2 linked regions of the Xenopus tropicalis genome follow. The protein of the gene in region 1 interacts with the protein of each later gene in a pairwise test. Links are inferred from orthologs where the notes say so. Each region holds a gene or a part of one and is shown in the gene's direction. Other genes may lie near its edges.

Region 1 (4,568 bases):
TGTTCCCTGCCCTGATGGGATTATTAAACCTGCCCAATCGAGAGCTGGCTGATTTTCGTCCAGATGTCGTTTGGAGGGTCCCATACACAGGCCAATAAGCTGCAGATATATCGCAGATGTATGACCACCATAAGGGATGATATGGAGCCATGTGGCTGAGGGGGAATTCTGTTTGTAGATGTAGCTGCAGCAAAGTACTTTATTTCCCATTGAGAGGGGTGTGAGTCTAGCAGGTGAAATGCTATCATGGTGCCTGTGGGGAGACCAAAGAATATCTCTGGCAGAAGTACTGGTGAAGAGAGCAGTATTATTAATAACATTTATTTATTAAGTGCCAACATATTCTACATATTCTACAATCAGTATTTTGAAGCATGTCAACTCTGAAAAGGAGATGCAAAAAGAAATGCAATGCTGCCCCCATGTGGAAGGCAGTTTAGAACATGTCCTATGAACTTTCACTGCAATAGATGCCTTTTAAGAAGAGGATTTAACACAAATTAATATGCTATGCAACATTCCAGTAACCCACAGATACTTCTAGGGTCATACCGAAGCCCATCAATAAAGCTAAGAAAGGTAACCTTAGACTGGCAGAAATACTTGTATTAAAAGCAGTCAAATCAATCCCGTAATGTTGGACAGCAACACAACCCCCATCAAAGCAATTACGAGAACATAAGCTTCTACATACTGTGCAACTTCAGTGGGTCTTAGCTCTTCAAGATTAATAATCAAGAGGATCACTGTTCTATAGCGTTTGGAACAAATACCTAGACACATTTGTCAATGGGAAAACAACACAAACAATTAGCCCCATTCGGGTTTACTAAATGTTGGGTGGAAAACTCTCTTTTGGAATAACTAAATCCACCAACTAACCAAACAAATTCTGCTCCCTCCTCCTCACTTGCCTAAAGACCAAAAAGGCATTACTTTGTATTTATTTTTATGTATTTTTTAAGAAATGCAACACTGTCTGGGACTGATGACACTACAACAGCAAGTCAAGTTAAAGTATTTTTTTTGTGACTACATTTTGCATTGTCCTGATGACTTGCTTTTGCCTGTAGAACTTTAATGTGTACTATTTTCATGTATGAGCATTCATATTATGGCTAATCTTTCTTTGTACACAAGAATGTGTGATACATGACTGCAAAATGTAAATTTTTAGTGAATTTCAAAATTTCTTAAAAAACAGTGCTTAACCTACTGCATAGATTCTTAAAATATTATATTGTTATGGGGGGGTCTCTCTTCTTCCGTTTCCTACTGTTTGTTTCCTACTCTATATGTTCCTCTATTCTTTCTTCTCTATTGATTGTTGAAATACCATGTTACTGGTAGAAATGAGGTAGTTTAATGTAACAATAGCATTTTGTGTACTTTTGCACTTATTCCTCTCTTTGCAAAATAAGAAAAAGAAAATCTAAAAAAAATATATATATATTTCTGCGATTTGACTTATTTATAAATATCATGTTAGCAAGCGGACCATCTGCCAAGTACACGGTCCCTTACATGTTAGTACGCATGCGTCGCAGCCTCCGGACTATCATAGAGCGCTAGCCGTGCGTACAGAGCGCCAAACAATATACGGTTTCCCAGCTAGACAGTCACTATAGTAATGTAGTAGGAAGGCGGGGTTCTTCCTCTCTCAAGATGGCGCAGACAGTGAACATTACCGACTTGTCTCTGCCGCAGTTGGAGGGATTGAAAAGTCAGTTGGACCAGGTATCTTAGTTAATCTTACATTGCCGTCTTAAATTGGGGATGCCTCTGTGTTGGTTTTTCCCCACGACTAAACGTAGTGTCCCACAACTGGCTTGGATGAGTTCTGGCCACCCCGTGGCTGTGGATCCCTTACTCCCAGAGTCCCACTGCAGCTTTTGCTGTCCCGCCCCAGCCTGGTGTTGCTCATACTCCGGGGTTACAGGGTTAGTAAGGCCTTCCTTATGTGCCTTTTCCTTTCATAGGAAGTGGAGTTCCTGTCCTCCTCCATCGCTCAGCTAAAGGTGGTTCAGACCAAGTATGTGGAGGCAAAGGAGTGCCTGAGTGTGCTGAACAAAAGCAATGAAGGTGAGTGACAGCGGCAGCCAGTTAGTAGGGTGTGTCAGTCGGCTTAGTTCCTCTCTCTAATAACCTGTATGTGTTTATCTGACAGGGAAGCAACTGCTTGTTCCCCTGACCAGCTCTGTATCCTTTTCATCACTATATTATGAAAAAGCCATATGGTGGCAAAACCAGTGAGCTGCTTCCAGTTTTAAAGTATGTTCTCTTCTATTTGTTTATTATATTATTAATGTAAGGAACGTTGTAAGTCTGTAGCAAGCTAAGTGTCAAAAATCTACTAAACAGTAATGCATTTTTATCCAAAGTTTAAACACTAAATGGCTAAACTGCTTAGGTGACTGCTTAAAAGAGTGTGATGATGGTTGTTATAGTGTAGGAAAAACATGTCAAGAATAGCAGCACGGTGTGTTTTTCCTGGGTACTTGGACAAAAATGTACTGTATACAGTCAGTCAGGCTATACAAAATATAGACCAATTGAAAAGTTGCTAATATTATAGGCCATTGTACAATGTACCAAAAGTTATCTTAAAGGTGAACTCCCCTTTTAATGAGCAAAAAAAAATAGAAAACCAGTATTTGCACAACAGTGTTTAAAGAAGAACAGTAGGTGTGTGGGTTTTTTCCCCCTTAACCTTTCATGTAGATGTATGTGCCTGGGACTCTTAATGATGTGTCAAATATACTGATCGATGTGGGTACTGGATATTATGTGGAAAAGGTGAGCTACTTTTTTGTTTGTTTTTTAGCTTAAGGTGTGACTGTGATGAGCAACCTACTGTTAACATTTTCTTGCGCAAAAGTTTGTTAGTATATTTCTAACTATACATAACACATTATTGCTACTCTTCAAACCATCTGGTGTGACAAACAGATTTAATTTTTATTGGTTGAATTAAAAGCAACTGGTTTATTTTTATTTTTTAAAATTTAGCGTGTTCTGGAACATGCACAGGTTATTCTCGCAGTTAAGATTGGCAGAACTTGTGCAAGTTTTGCCCAAGAGACCATTGGCTAGACCAGTAGGAAAGCGAAAAGCAGCAATAGGGAAATTTGACTACTTGTGTAAAGCTGCTGTACATATGCATAAGCCCTGTATAGGTAAATAATAATCCACACTTGCTTACTTAGTTGCCCTTTAATATCATACCACAATACATTCACAACAATGTAGCCATATCACTTCTAGAGGTAATTTGGTGCTGATATCACTCAGAGAAATTTACCTCTAGAAGTGATGGCACTTATTATAACTGAAAAAATAACTTGAAGCACTTATATTTATTATATATTATATATATTAGTGAACCTGGGCCTATGTGCTTTTACCCCAGAAAAAGTATTTTTTTGTTAAACTGTCTGCTTGCAAAGTGGGAGACTTAGGCAGCTGCAGTTCTCTGCAAGGAATTTGTTAGGCCTACAGCAGAGGATGTTAAGCTAAGCAATTTAACAGCAGTGTGCTTTGTAACCACTATATATATATATATATATATATTATATAATATATACATATTTTGGTTTCAGAGTACCAAGATAAGATGTTATTTTATTTTTAAAGGTGGCCATACATGTAGCAATTCCGATCTTTCCTGCGACCATGAGTTGCAGGAAAGATCGTTCGTTTCCCCCACTGACATTCAGAGTCATCGGATGTGAAGGTAGAAACAATAGGAATTCTACCTCCACCTGCCGGTTCAGCCCTGAACGCAGGTTTTGTTCGGGCGCCTTCAATGGCGCCCAGTCAAAATCTTTTAACCCGGCTGAGCGATGAGACAACCGATATCCGCAGCCTTTGCAATAACGGTCATCTTGTCGATCTGCCATACACGCACCAAATATCATACAAAACGAGGTTTTGTACAGTATCATCAGTGCGTGTATGGCCATCTTTACTCAGTCAAAATATAATGAATGCAGTGCACTTTAAGCTGACAGGATCTGTAGGTATCTGTTTCTGATAAATGTATCACTGGGCACTTGTAGTGTAAGTTTTTAATATAAGGAGATTCATGAATTCGGAAAGATATATGGTATGATTAAAGCTTAGTTAATTTTGAAGGCATATTGTGATTATTTGCCTTTACAGGGCACATATACCCACTGGTATAACTTAGGGCTGAACTTCACATGAGATTTTGTAGAATGGTGTTGGTTTGACAGATCGCATCCTGTCGAATGTAGTTGCATGGTTAAAAAATAATGGGACTGATAGAAAAATCTGATGTGTAAACTATATGAAAGCTTTGCCATCAGATGCAATGTGCCTTTTGGTAGTCGACTTTGCCTGCTGTGTCTTCATACAACCAGACAAAATCTCATAGTGTCTGAAAGAGATTTTTTCTCATTAAAATACATGTCTGATATAGACACGGAAACAGGATCATACAAAACATTGTGCTTGTTGCGTGACAAGATTTTGTGGGTCACACAAAATCTGACCCAAAAATTCTCATCAAAATCTCCTGTGTAGTTTAGCCCTTAAAAGGGCACTTC
Region 2 (4,697 bases), on another chromosome or scaffold:
AATTGAAAAAATCTGAGCTGTCAATCATATATTGCCTGCCCCGCCTCTATGCCGAAGGCATAGATATATAGGCAATATATGATTGACAGCTCAGATTTTTAAATACATTTATAACAAGTATGGATGATTTCATTAAAAAAAAGAATTTGGGTTTCATGTTTCAGTTGCCTGGTTGCTAGGGTGCAAAGTACCCTAGCAACCAGGCTTTGATTCGAACGAGAGAAGGGAATATGAATAGGAGAGGGGCTGAATAGATAGGTAATTGATATAAAGTAACAGTAACAATAAAACGGGTCAGTTCTCCTGTTGCTAGGGCTCAAATTACCTTAGCAACCAGGGAGTGGATTGAATGAGAGACTGGTATATGAATAGGGGAGGGGCTGAATAGAAAGATAAGGAATAAAAAGTAACAATAAAACTGGAGCCTCACAGAGCAATAGGGTTTGGCTGCCGGGGTCAGTTATACTGTTGCTAGGGCTCAAATTACCTTAGCAACCAGGGAGTGATTTGAATGAGAGGCTGGCATATGAATAGGGGAGGGGCTGAATAGAAAGATAAGGAATAAAAAGTAACAATAACAATAAACTGGAGCCTCACAGAGCAATAGGGTTTGGCTGCCAGGGTCAGTTATACTGTTGCTAGGGCTCAAATTACCTTAGCAACCAGGGAGTGATTTGAATGAGAGGCGGGTATATGAATAGGGGAGGGGCTGAATAGAGAGATAAGGAATAAAAAGTAACAATAACAATAAAACTGGAGCCTCACAGAGCAATAGGGTTTGGCTGCCGGGGTCAGTTATACTGTTGCTAGGGCTCAAATTACCTTAGCAACCAGGGAGTGATTTGAATGAGAGGCGGGTATATAAATAGGGGAGGGGCTGAATAGAAAGATAAGGAATAAAAAGTAACAATAAAACTGGAGCCTCAAAGAGCAATAGGGTTTGGCTGCCGGGGTCAGTTATACTGTTGCTAGGGCTCAAATTACCTTAGCAACCAGGGAGTGATTTGAATGAGAGGCGGGTATATAAATAGGGGAGGGGCTGAATAGAAAGATAAGGAATAAAAAGTAACAATAACAATAAAACTGGAGCCTCACAGAGCAATAGGGTTTGGCTGCCGGGGTCAGTGACCCCCATTTGAAAGCTGCAAAGAGGCAGAAGAAGAATTTATTTAAAAACTATAAAGAAATAAATGGGAAACAGGATTGGGAGATTTAGTCCAAGACACTAAGTGCTAAGACTTTACTTTCCCTTTAATCTCTTTACCAAGATAGGGAATGAGCTGGGAACCCCAAGATGAACCCCATTTGACTTGTTATTCTCTAGTGTAGTTATATATGTTTATTTAACCTGCATCTGGGCAGAGAAACCCCAGAAATGGTGGCTGACCAATAACAGGCGCACTAGGGAGTAGTCACATGACAACAGGAGGCTAACGTCAGCTCCCCGGGCTTTGGCTGAGCATTCTGGGATCTGTAGTTTAGAGACTTCCGGACACCCCATTAGCCAATCGCATTACGCAGCCCCCCCGCACGGGCTATAAAGAAGCGGCGATATATCTGACACACACACTTTCCCAGGAGGCCTCAGCTGTCACAATGTGTTGACGTCACTTACTACGGCCCGACTATGACGCGGCTTATGCGCCCCACCAACCAGGCGCTTCCAGTCATGCTTTTCCCTCTCTCAACATGGCGCCGCCAGGACTTCCCGGGCGGAAGTGGCGTCGGAACGCATAGACTTCCGCTGCGCGGAGAAGGTGCGCAGTGCGAGAGAGAAGCGTGATGGCGTCTAATGCAGCGAAGCAGGTGGCGGCCGAGCAGGTACTGGGCATGGTGGGCATAATGGCTGCTGGGGGGTCTGCCCGGCCGGTACCCCCCCCCCCCAACCGGCCGTTTAAAGGGCAACTAAGCCCAAAGCCCTTTTTTCATTATGGCCATTCATTCCCTTATATAGACACATGTGCTATTATAAGCTCAGTGGGAACAGGCTTCCTTGGGCATTTACTCAGATTCATTCCCTATTGGGATCCCTGATAGCCTTCCCACAGCAGCCCAGGAGCAGCCGGCTCTTCTGCTTCCTAGAAACTGTTGCTAGCCAGCTTGGTAGCAGTGTTGCTATGGTACTGAGCTGTTAGTGATATCCCATAATCCCTCAGTTGGAAGGGGGTTCAACAATGGGACTGGGGCACCTTAGTGTTTTATTATTACAGAGAAAAGGGAATCATTTAACCATTAAATAAACCCAATAGGGCTGTTCTGCCCCAATAAGGGGTAATTATATCTTAGTTGGGATCAAGTACAGGTACTGTTTTATTATTACAGAGAAAAGGGAATCATTTAACCATTAAATAAACCCAATAGGGCTGTTCTGCCCCAATAAGGGGTAATTATATCTTAGTTGGGATCAAGTACAGGTACTGTTTTATTATTACAGAGAAAAGGGAATCATTTAACCATGAAATAAACCCAATAGGGCTGTTCTGCCCCCAATAAGGGGTAATTATATCTTAGTTGGGATCAAGTACAGGTACTGTTTTATTATTACAGAGAAAAGGGAATCATTTAACCATTAAATAAACCCAATAGGGCTGTTCTGCCCCAATAAGGGGTAATTATATCTTAGTTGGGATCAAGTACAGGTACTGTTTTATTATTACAGAGAAAAGGGAATCATTTAACCATGAAATAAACCCAATAGGGCTGTTCTGCCCCAATAAGGGGTAATTATATCTTAGTTGGGATCAAGTACAGGTACTGTTTTATTATTACAGAGAAAAGGGAATCATTTAACCATTAAATAAACCCAATAGGGCTGTTCTGCCCCCAATAAGGGGTAATTATATCTTAGTTGGGATCAAGTACAGGTACTGTTTTATTATTACAGAGAAAAGGGAATCATTTAACCATTAAATAAACCCAATAGGGCTGTTCTGCCCCCAATAAGGGGTAATTATATCTAAGTTGGGATCAAGTACAGGTACTGTTTTATTATTACAGAGAAAAGGGAATTGTTTAACCATTAAATAAACCCAATAGGGCTGTTCTGCCCCAATAAGGGGTAATTATATCTTAGTTGGGATCAAGTACAGGTACTGTTTTATTATTACAGAGAAAAGGGAATCATTTAACCATGAAATAAACCCAATAGGGCTGTTCTGCCCCCAATAAGGGGTAATTATATCTTAGTTGGGATCAAGTACAGGTACTGTTTTATTATTACAGAGAAAAGGGAAATAACTTTTTAACGTGATTAAAAAAGAAGTCTATGGAACATTATGGATAAAGGGTTTCTGGATATTGGACCCCATAGGCCCCTGTAAGAAGATGAGCCAATGCTGGGCTGATCTGTTTGCCCACATTGTTTAAGAGTTGCCATTAAAGGGAAAGTTAAGCCAAATACCCTTGTTTAATATGTACGTTCTGTGTTTGTTGCTACAGGTGGTGGCTGGATTTAATCGCCTGCGCCAGGAGCAGCGAGGTCTCGCGTCCAAGGCAGCGGAACTGGAGATGGAGCTTAACGAACACACGTGAGTCTCATTAGCAAACAGGTCGTTCAGCAATGAAGAATCCTTCAATGTGATTCTCCCCGAGGGTCGTTATTCCTCTCTGTTGCACGCTACATTTGTTCTGTAGTCGGAACCAGTGCAGATCTCCCTAACTAACTGACAGTCGTCTCCCTCGCTCCGCAGGTTGGTTATCGACACCCTGAAGGAAGTGGAGCAGGGCAGGAAGTGTTTCCGGATGGTCGGGGGGGTACTGGTGGAACGCACCGTGAAGGAAGTGCTTCCGGCTTTGGAGAATAATAAAGAGCAGGTAAGGCTCTGCCTTGTGGGCACCTAATTAAAGGGCATATTAACCTTTATTGGGGGCAGAACAGCCCTATTGGGTTTATTTAATGGTTAAATGATTCCCTTTTCTCTGTAATAATAAAACAGTACCTGTACTTGATCCCAACTAAGATATAATTACCCCTTATTGGGGCAGAACAGTCCTATTGGGTTTATTTAATGGTTAAATGATTCCCTTTTCTCTGTAATAATAAAACAGTACCTGTACTTGATCCCAACTAAGATATAATTACCCCTTATTGGGGGCAGAACAGCCCTATTGGGTTTATTTCATGGTTAAATGATTCCCTTTTCTCTGTAATAATAAAACAGTACCTGTACTTGATCCCAACTAAGATATAATTACCCCTTATTGGGGCAGAACAGCCCTATTGGGTTTAATGGTTAAATGATTCCCTTTTCTCTGTAATAATAAAACAGTACCTGTACTTGATCCCAACTAAGATATAATTACCCCTTATTGGGGCAGAACAGCCCTATTGGGTTTATTTCATGGTTAAATGATTCCCTTTTCTCTGTAATAATAAAACAGTACCTGTACTTGATCCCAACTAAGATATAATTACCCCTTATTGGGGCAGAACAGCCCTATTGGGTTTATTTCATGGTTAAATGATTCCCTTTTCTCTGTAATAATAAAACAGTACCTGTACTTGATCCCAACTAAGATATAATTACCCCTTATTGGGGGCAGAACAGCCCTATTGGGTTTATTTAATGGTTAAATGATTCCCTTTTCTCTGTAATAATAAAACAGTACCTGTACTTGATCCCAACTAAGATATAATTACCCCTTATTGGGGCAGAACAGCCCTAAGATATAATTACCCCTTATCAAAGCATTCAAGA

Evidence for each region. The genes of interacting proteins can lie anywhere in the genome.
Region 2: the proteins of pfdn5 (region 1) and pfdn2 interact in binary tests that used the Homo sapiens proteins (3 or more experiments, as listed by UniProt). The link is inferred for Xenopus tropicalis from reciprocal best matches to the Homo sapiens genes PFDN5 and PFDN2.

What each region holds. Positions count from the first base shown.
Region 1 is NC_030678.2:147,137,679-147,142,246, reverse strand, and holds the start of pfdn5 (prefoldin subunit 5), read left to right. Parts: upstream 1-1,644; 5' UTR 1,645-1,665; coding exon 1,666-1,737; intron 1,738-1,979; coding exon 1,980-2,082; intron 2,083-2,167; coding exon 2,168-2,199; intron 2,200-2,721; coding exon 2,722-2,796; intron 2,797-4,568. UniProt on the Homo sapiens protein: Binds specifically to cytosolic chaperonin (c-CPN) and transfers target proteins to it. Binds to nascent polypeptide chain and promotes folding in an environment in which there are many competing pathways for nonnative proteins.
Region 2 is NC_030684.2:143,080,028-143,084,724, reverse strand, and holds the start of pfdn2 (prefoldin subunit 2), read left to right. Parts: upstream 1-1,779; 5' UTR 1,780-1,782; coding exon 1,783-1,821; intron 1,822-3,438; coding exon 3,439-3,527; intron 3,528-3,689; coding exon 3,690-3,813; intron 3,814-4,697. UniProt on the Homo sapiens protein: Binds specifically to cytosolic chaperonin (c-CPN) and transfers target proteins to it. Binds to nascent polypeptide chain and promotes folding in an environment in which there are many competing pathways for nonnative proteins.